3 linked regions of the Daphnia pulex genome follow. The protein of the gene in region 1 binds, or shares a complex with, the protein of each later gene. Links are inferred from orthologs where the notes say so. Each region holds a gene or a part of one and is shown in the gene's direction. Other genes may lie near its edges.

What was found.
Region 2: splicing factor 3B subunit 3-like (region 1) and splicing factor 3B subunit 6-like share a complex: the UniProt entries of both Drosophila melanogaster proteins name them as parts of the splicing factor SF3B complex. The link is inferred for Daphnia pulex from reciprocal best matches to the Drosophila melanogaster genes Sf3b3 and Sf3b6.
Region 3: splicing factor 3B subunit 3-like (region 1) and microfibrillar-associated protein 1-like share a complex: the UniProt entries of both Drosophila melanogaster proteins name them as parts of the spliceosome B complex. The link is inferred for Daphnia pulex from reciprocal best matches to the Drosophila melanogaster genes Sf3b3 and Mfap1.

The regions. Positions count from the first base shown.
Region 1 is NC_060019.1:9,348,268-9,352,721, forward strand, and holds the start of splicing factor 3B subunit 3-like, read left to right. Parts: upstream 1-1,621; 5' UTR 1,622-1,776; intron 1,777-2,102; 5' UTR 2,103-2,158; coding exon 2,159-2,384; intron 2,385-2,449; coding exon 2,450-2,620; intron 2,621-2,807; coding exon 2,808-3,084; intron 3,085-3,276; coding exon 3,277-3,427; intron 3,428-3,638; coding exon 3,639-3,880; intron 3,881-4,047; coding exon 4,048-4,226; intron 4,227-4,285; coding exon 4,286-4,441; intron 4,442-4,454. UniProt on the Drosophila melanogaster protein: Involved in pre-mRNA splicing as a component of the splicing factor SF3B complex, a constituent of the spliceosome. SF3B complex is required for 'A' complex assembly formed by the stable binding of U2 snRNP to the branchpoint sequence (BPS) in pre-mRNA.
Region 2 is NC_060019.1:12,853,390-12,856,100, reverse strand, and holds splicing factor 3B subunit 6-like, read left to right. Parts: upstream 1-1,343; 5' UTR 1,344-1,473; coding exon 1,474-1,503; intron 1,504-1,617; coding exon 1,618-1,736; intron 1,737-1,793; coding exon 1,794-2,013; 3' UTR 2,014-2,075; downstream 2,076-2,711. Other genes in the region: pantothenate kinase 3-like, read right to left, coding at 62-229, 298-471, 539-729, 791-890; dolichyldiphosphatase 1-like, read right to left, coding at 2,307-2,436, 2,499-2,627, 2,699-2,711. UniProt on the Drosophila melanogaster protein: Involved in pre-mRNA splicing as a component of the splicing factor SF3B complex. SF3B complex is required for 'A' complex assembly formed by the stable binding of U2 snRNP to the branchpoint sequence (BPS) in pre-mRNA.
Region 3 is NC_060019.1:11,265,297-11,269,397, reverse strand, and holds the start of microfibrillar-associated protein 1-like, read left to right. Parts: upstream 1-1,155; 5' UTR 1,156-1,298; exon of another isoform or gene 1,299-1,366; intron 1,367-2,079; 5' UTR 2,080-2,570; coding exon 2,571-2,788; intron 2,789-2,857; coding exon 2,858-3,176; intron 3,177-3,241; coding exon 3,242-3,320; intron 3,321-3,382; coding exon 3,383-3,540; intron 3,541-3,603; coding exon 3,604-3,930; intron 3,931-3,992; coding exon 3,993-4,101. Other genes in the region: ADP-ribosylation factor 6, read right to left, coding at 1-42. UniProt on the Drosophila melanogaster protein: Required for pre-mRNA splicing.

The DNA.
Region 1 (4,454 bases):
TCGCCGGATTCAAACACATTGGCTAATACCGTCGCGTTCGTCACTGTGACTATGTAGCTCTAAAAAATCCCTATTGAGGTTGATTTGTTTCTGTATAGTCAGAGAGGATAACCTTAATAAGATGGCATATGGAAAGTTAGAACTTGTTCTACTGTACATCAGATAAAAACCACGAATGCGCGTACATGGCTTATAGCGGTTGCAGCATGTTATATTACGGAACAAGGGGATTTCATACCGCGCCCAGCAGCGCCTTATCTCAACGCATTTATGACAGTGTAGAAAACTATAATCTCATGCTGTTCCCGACGACGACGAAAGTTGGCCCAAAACTACCGACTGCTGATATCGCGTATACAACAACAACAAGTCGACGATGTTAAATTCCAAACGTCGAAGAATTTCGCTGCGGCTATCTTTTGGAAGATGCTGCAATAAAGGCTGTTCCAAAGAATGCAAGGACAACATCAAATTCTTCGTTTTTTCTAGTTTCGTTTTTTTTCAAACCTCTAAACTTGTTCTTAATAGGAAACATCAAAAGTCAAGAGTTGATTTCCGACTGCAAGCCGTTCCACATTCCATCACTGGCGACAGAGGACGAGTTAATCGGTAAAGTTCGGGAACTCGATTGTTTCAGTCAATATGAATTGAATGACTCGAAATGAATTCAACGGTACATTATGAATTGAAAAAAAAAGATAAGTGCTTCAACACCCTTATTCGTTATTCCTTACCGCACCGCAAATAAAAATTTTTGAATAAGAAATTTTAAAAGATAGACAAGTTCGGGATGCTGAGTTGCACAACCGCAAAATTAGGATCGTGCGCCAACGAGTTTTTGTAACGTTGTGGGGATAGTAGAAAGCGGGTTTTTTATTATTTAAGCATAGAATTACTTATCTAATCTTAGAAATGTTCAGGATTATCGTTGTTTAGAACATTCTGCTTTTTATAGAGTAATTTTAAATGTATAATTCAGCTTAGTTTACCCATTAAAATTAAAGAAAGTCCAAGCCTGGGATGCTGTTTAGTCTTTTCTTGTGTTTTTTGACAGATCTGCTGACAAGTGACAAGCTCAAACACACAAGAAAAGACTAAACAGCATCCCAGGCTTGGACTTTCTTTAATTTGAATGGGTAAACTAAGCTGAATTATACATTTAAAATTACTCTATAAAAAGCAGAATGTTCTAAACAACGATAATCCTGAACATTTCTAAGATTAGATAAGTAATTCTATGCTTAAATAATAAAAAACCCGCTTTCTACTATCCCCACAACGTTACAAAAACTCGTTGGCGCACGATCCTAATTTTGCGGTTGTGCAACTCAGCATCCCGAACTTGTCTATTCAAAGCGTGGCTGCATGGTGGTTCTAGAGAGAAACTCGCGCGCATAGCAAGGGATCGGAATATGAACACGTCTTTTGAATTACTTTATGAGTAATAAAAACAGCTGTGAATAAATCATTCTTGATTATCACCACTGAAATTTTTTATTAATTTCACAATTTTATTGTATAATGCATTATGAAATCGTTCTATAAATAATAATAATAATTTAAAAAATCTTGTGATAAAGAAAGCGCAAATGCATTGAAAATGCTGTGTTTAGGGATAGACCAAGTAGAGAGTCGATGTCAGATGTTCAAAAATATTGCCTATCACACAATGCACGAGAAGTCGAACCCTAAACTCGAGCGCGACGCCGGAGCCAAGAGAGATTTCACTCAACCTTTGCTGAATTTTCCATCATGGAAAATCTGTAACATCCACAGGTAAATTCAAGTTTGACTACACATTTTAGTTCCAGATAGTTGAAAAGCAGTTATTTTGATGGTTAAATGTGTGTTTTTGGCGATGTTTAAAATATTGAAGCATGTCAATTTGAAAACCTTGCCGGGTGAGATGCCGGGGCTGTAGTTTCTTTCGCGTACTCGTCTAGCTATTAAAGAAAAGAAAACCCCTTACAACTTTACCGCCTTTCTGTGAATTAAGTTTGGTGGCTATACATGAGGGGGACATTAATTTTCAAATGGTGTGTAACATTGTCATTAAACATGTTGGACAAATGTAAGAATTATATCTGATAACATTTTCGCAGGTGATGCTCATCTAGGCAGTTCAAGTTACACATTGGACACGTCAACTTGAAAGAAAATGTATCTTTACAATCTGACTCTGCAGCGTGCCACTGGCATCATTCAGGCAGTCCAGGGCAACTTCAGTGGCACCAAGCAACAGGAGATTGTCATTGCTCGTGGAAAGGTACTCGAAATTGTGAAGCCGGATCCCAACACTGGCAAAGTACACACACTTCTCAGTCAAGAGGTTTTTGGAATCATCAGGTCAATCATTAGTTTCAGGCTTACTGGAGGAAATAAGGGTGAGTTGTGCAAATATAATTTTTAAAACATACATCCTGCTAACTTTCATTAATTCTGTATTTAGATTACCTTGTGGTCGGATCAGACTCTGGGCGAATTGTCATTCTTGAATACAATGCTGCCAAAAATGTGTTTGATAAGGTGCACCAAGAAACGTACGGCAAAAGCGGTTGTCGTCGGATTGTTCCTGGACAGTACATGGCAATTGATCCCAAAGGCAGAGCTGTTATGATCAGTAAGTTTTGATCCGTTTTTAATTTAAATTCTTGCAAGTGATGAGTTACGTTTTTATGTCTTCTTTCCCCATCTGAGAAAGATAATGCTGATATCTAACGTTTTTACTGAGAATTTTTTAAAATCGAAATCTTGTGGCTTGAGAGTGCGCATTGCTTTAACATTTATGTTTTTTTTTTGCATTGCAGGTGCTATTGAGAAGCAAAAACTGGTCTACATTCTGAACAGGGATGCCCAAGCCCATTTAACCATTTCTTCTCCGCTGGAGGCTCACAAGTCAAACACTCTAGTTTACAACATAGTGGGTGTTGACGTGGGATTTGAAAACCCTGTATTTGCTTGTTTGGAGATGGATTATGAAGAGGCCGATGGTGATCCAACAGGCGAGGCGGCACAGAAGACGCAACAAACGCTTACATTCTACGAACTCGATCTGGGTTTAAACCACGTCGTTAGGAAATATAGGTGCGTAACAAATCTTGGTGATTTTGGTTTTGCCTGGTTGGGTTTCAAAACCCCTTAACTTTACTGCTCTCTTGTCACTTAAAGATTGCAGCTATACATAAGGGGGACATTATCTATCATAGTGTGTAACATTGTTGACTTATGTGTGACAATGTAAGAAATATTTTGATGAACATATCTTTACTTTAATAGTGAGCCGTTGGATGAGCACGCCAATTTCCTCATCACTGTTCCTGGAGGAAACGACGGACCTTCCGGAGTTCTGGTTTGCTCCGAGAACTACATCACATATAAGAATTTGGGTGAACAGCATGACATTCGTTGCCCAATCCCCAGAAGAAGGGTACGTTTGATCATTTCATTATGTTATTTGGCGCGCGGTATCTCCAGCCGTGTTCTATACACGTGCTGGTCGACTAGTGCCTAAACTATACTTGGAGATGTTTGCATCGTTGGATTGTAATGCGCATATTGCATGCTGTCCTGGAACGAACCTCCGATAAGTTATTTATTCCATGTATTGAGGACGGTAGTAATAAGTTTTTTCTCTGTAGAATGACTTGGATGATCCGGAAAGGGGCATGATTTTCGTCTGCTCGGCTTCCCATCGCACCAAGGCCATGTTTTTCTTCCTTGTCCAAACGGAGCAGGGCGATATTTTCAAGATCACCATGGATATGGATGAAGAGGTGGTGAGAGAATTGAAAATCAAGTACTTTGATACCGTTCCAGTTTCGTCCAGCATGTGTGTGTTGAAGACAGGCTTTCTATTCGTCGCATCGGAATTTGGAAATCAGTTAGTTTTCTTAAATTTTTTTTTCTATTTGCTGAAATGATGTGTATTGTCATCCGTGTTTCACCTGAGATAACACTTTGATTATAATTTTTGACTCTGATTTCGGTTACAAAATTTGAAGTAGTTTTATGGGTTTTCAAGTGTATTAATTTTCCTTGTGTTATTAGTTATCTTTACCAGATTGCTCATTTGGGGGATGATGACGATGAACCCGAATTCAGCTCTACTATACCATTGGAGGAAGGAGATACTTTCTTCTTTGCTCCGAGACCTTTGAAGAATCTTGTTCTCGTGGACGAGATGGAGTCTTTATCTCCAGTTCTGGCCTGCCATATTGCTGATCTCGGTAGGTTTGATAATTCCTCCTGTTTTGAAAGGTTTTTAACATTTGTTTTCAATTTACAGCCAATGAGGATACACCCCAGTTGTATGCACTTTGTGGTAGAAGTTCTCGTTCGTCTCTTCGTGTTCTCCGTCATGGATTGGAAGTATCGGAGATGGCTGTTTCTGAACTTCCCGGTAACCCCAATGCAGTGTGGACTGTCAGAAAACGTGCCGACGGTAATTTTAATTT
Region 2 (2,711 bases), about 3.5 Mb from region 1:
GTAACAACAACAGAATTAAAGTCATTTGTTTGTTAATAAAGTTTTTAAATGATGGAATTACCAAAAACGGATATGGGTTCTTGAAGTCATATGTTTTTTTTACGCACTTAGTTTCGTCAGTTGGATTTTCCCAATAATAAACCTCGGGACGATGAATTTCTTCAATGTACAAGAGCCCACCGATAAGGGATTCCAGTTCGTCCGATTTATGTAGATTTAAATTAACAGCCTACAGACAACCGTATAACAAGATAAGAAAAAAGAAAAAGAAATCAAAGCTGCATAAAGTGTACAAACCCTTAAAAAGTCTTTTTCAAACTTGTATGCACCTCCACCTGTGGCACAAATGGTTGTGGACAGAGAGGCAAATCCTTTAGATTTTGCTAGCTGCAGAAATTGCTCCATTTCAGAGGTAGGAAATCTGATGAAATGTAATGTTCCTACTCTGTTTCCCATTGGAATTGAACTCATCTGAAATTTGAAAATTATACTGAAATCAATTTCTGATAAAATAGGAAAGATTAGAAGATGTAAACACCTGCAGATGAATGTCTCGGTGCCCTGTCTCTCCATAAGCATTGTTACTAGTGAGATACTTTTGAATGTTGTGTAAGGTTTCAATTTCTGACGAACTTACATTCTCTTCCTCAGGAGCAATGTCAGTTGGTTCAAAATACACTAATTTAACTAAAGTTCCACCTATATCCATTCCAAACCAGGGCATGCTAGCTGTAGAATAAAAATAATTGTTTATTATCACAACTAATTGATTAAAAATAACAATACTTACGAGAATGAACAACTGTGGAACTTGAATCATGGCCATTTGTTACCCTGTTTTCTACACTATCCATTGTGCGACCATATTGTGTTTCGTGATCAGAAGACATCTGTTAATGTGCAGAATTTCAATGTGCTTTCTTTAGTTATATCCCAGCAATTCTTTATTGTATGCACAGCACCGGATGAAGCTTAAAAATCCCTTTATTTAATTGATATCGGAAGTAGCGAATCAGTTCAGTTTACGCGACTCGAATAGTGGCCATCTGCATCATATCTTGATATTCGAACCAATAGAAAAAGGAATTCGGGTCGTACGATGTGGAAACTTTTCCCCTTTCCTTTTCTCTTATTTGAGTATGCTATTCCTCATTTGACACAAATTCGTCTGCTAAAACATCAGCATTGCCAAAATATTAAAATGTGAAGAGTAAATTGAGCTAGGAAAAGATTTTTATGAGATATATATACATTTTTTTAGTATTTAATTTGAATCAAATTTTCTAGTGCATAAAACCAATTAATTGAATTACACGAAAATAATGTTTTGTTTATTCTGTCAGCTCAGAATCGTCGTCTGCTATGCAGCCATTTTGAATACCAAGCGGCGTTCTTATTGTCAAGTTCACGAGCACAGTTTTGAATTGTATTGATCAGTGATTTCGTTGTTTTAACTGAATTTTACTCCTAACAATGGCGATGGCAATGCAGAAAAAGCTAAACGTATGCAATCATGTGTTAATTTTTTTTTATCATTAGTAGTTTATTATATTGAGTCAAGATTGTTGTGCATCAAGATTTCCATGTGAGCATTTCTTAAATATTTTTATTTTTCAGGTGAGGTTACCTCCTGAAGTAAACAGAATCCTATATGTCCGAAATCTTCCCTATAAAATTACATCAGAAGAAATGTATGATATCTTTGGAAAATACGGAGCTATTCGGCAAATCAGAGTGTAAGTAGAAATTGATAATATATGTTAGCATCAATTGTAACTCATTTGATTTGATAGAGGGAACACTCCAGAAACCAGAGGAACAGCTTTTGTGGTCTATGAAGACATTTTTGATGCAAAAAATGCTTGTGATCATCTTTCTGGTTTTAATGTCTGCAATCGTTACCTTGTAGTACTCTATTATCAACCTACAAAGGCCTTCAAAAAGGTTGACACAGACAAGAAGAAAGAAGAGATAGAAAGCATGAAGGCTAAATTTGGATTGAATGATGAATAACATGTAAATTGACCTCATTTCTCATTGTACAATTTGGTATAATAAAAAAACCATTTTCACTATGTGAATTGTAACCAGTATTGACCCTTTTCCAACCAGTGTAATTGTGAGGTATTCCATTGTAATGGAATATCAAATATGATTTGCACGAGTTATTACAACTCAAAAATGTTTTTTCTAAAAAGAATATTCACGAAATATCCGGCTTTCAAGAATAACAGATTTGTAGGCACAGTAAACAGACAAACAATTGCACTGCAGCTACTGAACACAAAATTATTTTCAAGCCAGTTTTACTGGGACTTCATGGAGACCAATTTTCGACTTCTGTGCTTTGATTCGCTCCGGTGAGATGTATATTCAAACCAGATAATGTTAGGGATTAATGTTTGATCTCTCACCAATAGCCATTCACACACTCTCCTAAGAAATAACAATGAATATTGCATGTTATCGGCATGGAAACACTTTTGAGGAAAACTAACCATGATGCAACAGTTGGGAACCACGGCGTTAGAGCGAATTGCGTAAATAAGAACCACGAAACTGCTAAAACAGATCCAAGTAATCCCCCTACTATTACTTGGGAAGCAGTGTGGTACTGAAGATAAATCCTAATAATGAAGCAAGAGAATTAAGTATTTTTTTTCACTTAAGTAAAATAAACAAAGAATTAGAATAAAACCTTGCTATGGCAA
Region 3 (4,101 bases), about 1.9 Mb from region 1:
CATTTCCTTGTTTCCGAATATTTTGGACAGTATTTTCCCCATTCTCCTAATCAGCTCACTAACAAGCTGTTTTACAAGAAAAGAACTTTATTTCAAGCAACAAAATGACCCTGTCAGCCACAGCCATATAGTTTATCCACATCTGTAGAACTGAAGTGTCAAACTAGTTTGGTAACTTTTCAGTGACATTTGTGGCAAAAGTTGTTATCAGAAAAAAATAAACAGACTTTGCTCAGTCATTTACAGCATACTAGCTAACATACTATTATCAGATCAGGTTTTCCACTTACTTTAATGTAGACTCAACAATGACGTTTACTGGAATTTTAGCTGTAATATGGAAGTATTTTCGAAGGCATTCCTATGAACCGGAGTCGTTATTTGCACAAACACTATTTTGTTTTTGATGTGAGCACTAAGAAATCGATGGAAGGCGTTGGAAACAGGCGAAAATAAATAGTTTCTTTGCTTCTTCAGATAAAAAGGCACCTGTCACTTCAGTTAGCCGCCCAAACACCCGACCCGGTCTTCCCGATATCTTTGCAAGTCTTCAGAAGATCCAAAAAACTCGGGCCTTCCAATGTAATGAACAGACAGAATAGTACTCCTTGCATCTCACCAGATGGCTTTTTTTTCCTTCTTCCAATTTTGGTGACGGCGGCGTCTGAAAACAACTAGCTATTTCAGACTTTAACACATTCCACTCAACTAATCAATTATTTCTATTATTACACTTATTCAAGTGGAATAACGAGAGGAATGACATACACACACCAGTGTAATTGAGCAGATGGAATTCCAACACTGACAGCCAGTGTCCCCTTTTCTGCCCACCTTCTGATCCGCCCACCCAAGCTTCGATTTGATTCGATTTCAAAACCATTCCCTAACCGTCAACGTGTTCCCTCCCACATCTTTAAAATGTATTATTGAAACAACGAGTGATAAATTATTTTATTATAATTTTTAATGCAGGATTCATTGGTTCGAAAGGGGAAAATTTATTTAGCAGTTTCTAACATTTCTAAAAATTTGATCGGCAATACGGCAAGTGTTTAGTAGCGACGTCTATAATTTCAATTTAAGTAGCGGTCTCTGGCGTCAAGATTACGAAAGAAAAGTTGAAATTCATGAACACATTTTTCTTTTTAGGTTGCCGGAAGTCGACAAAATGCCTCAAGCCGGATCCCTATCTCCTCCCTTAACCCCCCGCAGCAACAGCTAACAGGTTGTCTCGGCTATCAAAGTGCATTTAAGGAAGCTGAATTACTCATTTTACAACTGAAACATTTCACCATGTAAGCCGCTAGCCGTAGTCTTTTGTTTTTTTTCCAAAAGAAGCATATTCACCATAAATATGTTCATGGTTTGTACATAGTGTTTCTATACAGTCACCGCCACCATGTTATGACGTTTTTTTGATGGATTGTTATTTCTTGTTGTTGCTTTTCGGACACATGTGTACTTGACTACTCAAAAGATTTGCTTTTCTCCCACAATACTTATTACTGGTTAGGTATTTTTCTATAAATAAGCACACTAGTGCTTGTTGCCTGGAAAGATTTATTTTAGCTCCTTTCTTTTATTACAGTACAAAACAGTTATTTATTAAGAAATAAAATGGAGACATCGAAGTAGAATTTCGAAACCGCACATTATTATGCTATGACGATAAAAAAAAAGCGGTAGAACCACCAAAAATATTCGGTTAAACTTTCGAGCGGATATATTTAGTGGAATATAGCGTGAGGTAAATTTTGAAGTGTGTGTCTAATCGATGTCCTTGAGTTCAATATCTTCGACGATCCGGTGAAAACTGCACGAAGTCATGCGGAGCTTTGAATACTTTGGTGTTTCGAAACAGTTGATAATAAGCTGAAACTCGTAAAACCACCGCCATTGCGATCAAATAGTGCGATGTGTAAAATCTAGCTACGACATAAGTAATTTCCTACAAAGTAAGTAGTAAGTAGGTAGTTGCTATATACAATAAATGAGTGATTTATTGTAACGTCATAATGAGGTCCAAATTCCTAAATTCCGACATTAATTTTCTCAGATTTATTTCGTGATTCTTAGGCACTTCAAGGTAAACGAGATTCCTCACGGTTGCCAATCCCTGGATAGAACTTGGCGAAAGGTCTCCATGGATTTTGGTCACGGCCTCTTTATCCTGATCCTGCTATCAGCTAATAAAACTCAGATAAAACTATCGTGTTTGCATTGTGTTGCCTAGAAGCAGCATAATCAGATTTTCAGTGGATTACAGCAACATCAATTGCTGGGTACTGGTCACAGTCTGCAATAACATGTCATACAATATTACGTGCCATAGGAGACGGCAAAAGTCACGTCATTCTTTATTTCAATTTAAGTTCTTAGATGGCGCAGTAGTCGTCTTCAATTTCATTCGCCAACAGAGGACTCTGCACTCTGGTGATCCGATGAGTGGCCCACTGGCCCTGAATAGAGTATGCAATGGCAACGAAAAAAACATTGAGTGAAAATTCAGACAACAAACGCGTGTATATGGTCGTTCCGTATTAAGATTAAGACAATTTTTTGTGAAAATGTCGTCATCCAAAGTGGTCCCTATCCTTTCAACCGCGGGTGCTATCCCTGTGAAAAATGACAAAGGGGAGATATCTATGCAAAAAGTTAAAGTCAATCGTTACGTATCAGGCAAACGACCAGACTACGCTACTACACATTCATCTTCAGATGATAGTGATGAAGAAGAGTTTATCAGACCAAGAAAGCAGGCAAGAGGAAGACCAGTAGAAGAAAGGTATTAAATTATTGATTGTAGATATGTATTTATATGCTTGTATATTTAAAAAATTTGATTAAATTGTAGTCCTGAAAAAGAATGGGACGAAACCCCAGATCTTCCACTTACTGCTCACAGTGACAGAAGATTAAAACGTCTTTTAAATCGTGAAGTTGACGACCATAGAATTGAAAGGCATCGTCATATCCATGAGCCTGAAATTATTGGAACAGAAGAAGATGAAGTAACACCTCATTTAGAAAGTGAAGAAGTAAGTTTTAGCAAAAATGCCCGAAGATGGGAATCAAGTGAAGAAGAGGATGAGGCAGAAGATCTTGATGAAGATGACATTGAGCGCAGAAGAATGATTGCACGTCAGAAGGCTGTTATTAAACAGCAAGAAGAAGTAAGTTAATATACTTTGTAGTATGATCATTGATCAATTCAATTCAATTGCAAATTTTGTTGTAGGAGTTGTTGGCAAGAGAGGAGGAGAAGGAAAGTGAGGAAGATGAAGATGACGAAGCTTCAGAATATGAAGAATATACAGGTTTGAAATAAAAGTCCCTTGATGTGAACAAGACTCTAAATCTGTTGTGTTTTTTATCCTAGATTCTGAGGAAGAAACGGGTCCAAGACTGAAGCCCATCTTCGTTAGCAAGAAAGAACGTATAACCATAGCTGAGAAGGAAAAGGAATTGCAAAAACAAAAGCTTATGGAACTTGAAGCTAAAAAGCTTGCCGAAGAACGTCGCCGCTATACCTTAAAGGTAAACCATTTTTAAATTTATACACTTTTTGAACTAAAAAAGCATTAAAAATCTATTAAACAGGTTGTTGAAGAAGAAGTCAGAAAAGAAATGCAAGCCAAAGACGAAAAAGACCTTGAATCAGGAATCTTGTCGGTGTTGACGGATGCCGAGGATGAAGAACTCGAATACGAGACCTGGAAATTACGTGAACTTAAACGCAATAAGCGTGACCGAGATGAAAGAGAGGCAGAAGAAAGAGAACGACAAGAAATTGAACGTATCCGTAATATGACCGAAGAAGAACGGCGACTGGAATTCAAGAACAATCCAAAGGAAGTCACAAACAAGGCACCAAAGGGCAAATATAAGTTCCTACAGAAATACTATCATCGCGGTGCCTTTTACCTCGTAAGTTCAGCTTTTAAAGATATTTGGGATTTTAAAAATAATTTAAACTCTTACTCTAACAGGACGAAGACAAGGAAGTTTTCAAACGCGATTTTGCTGTGCCAACTCTTGAAGATCACTTCGATAAGACTGTTCTGCCTAAAGTGATGCAAGTTAAGAATTTCGGTCGCA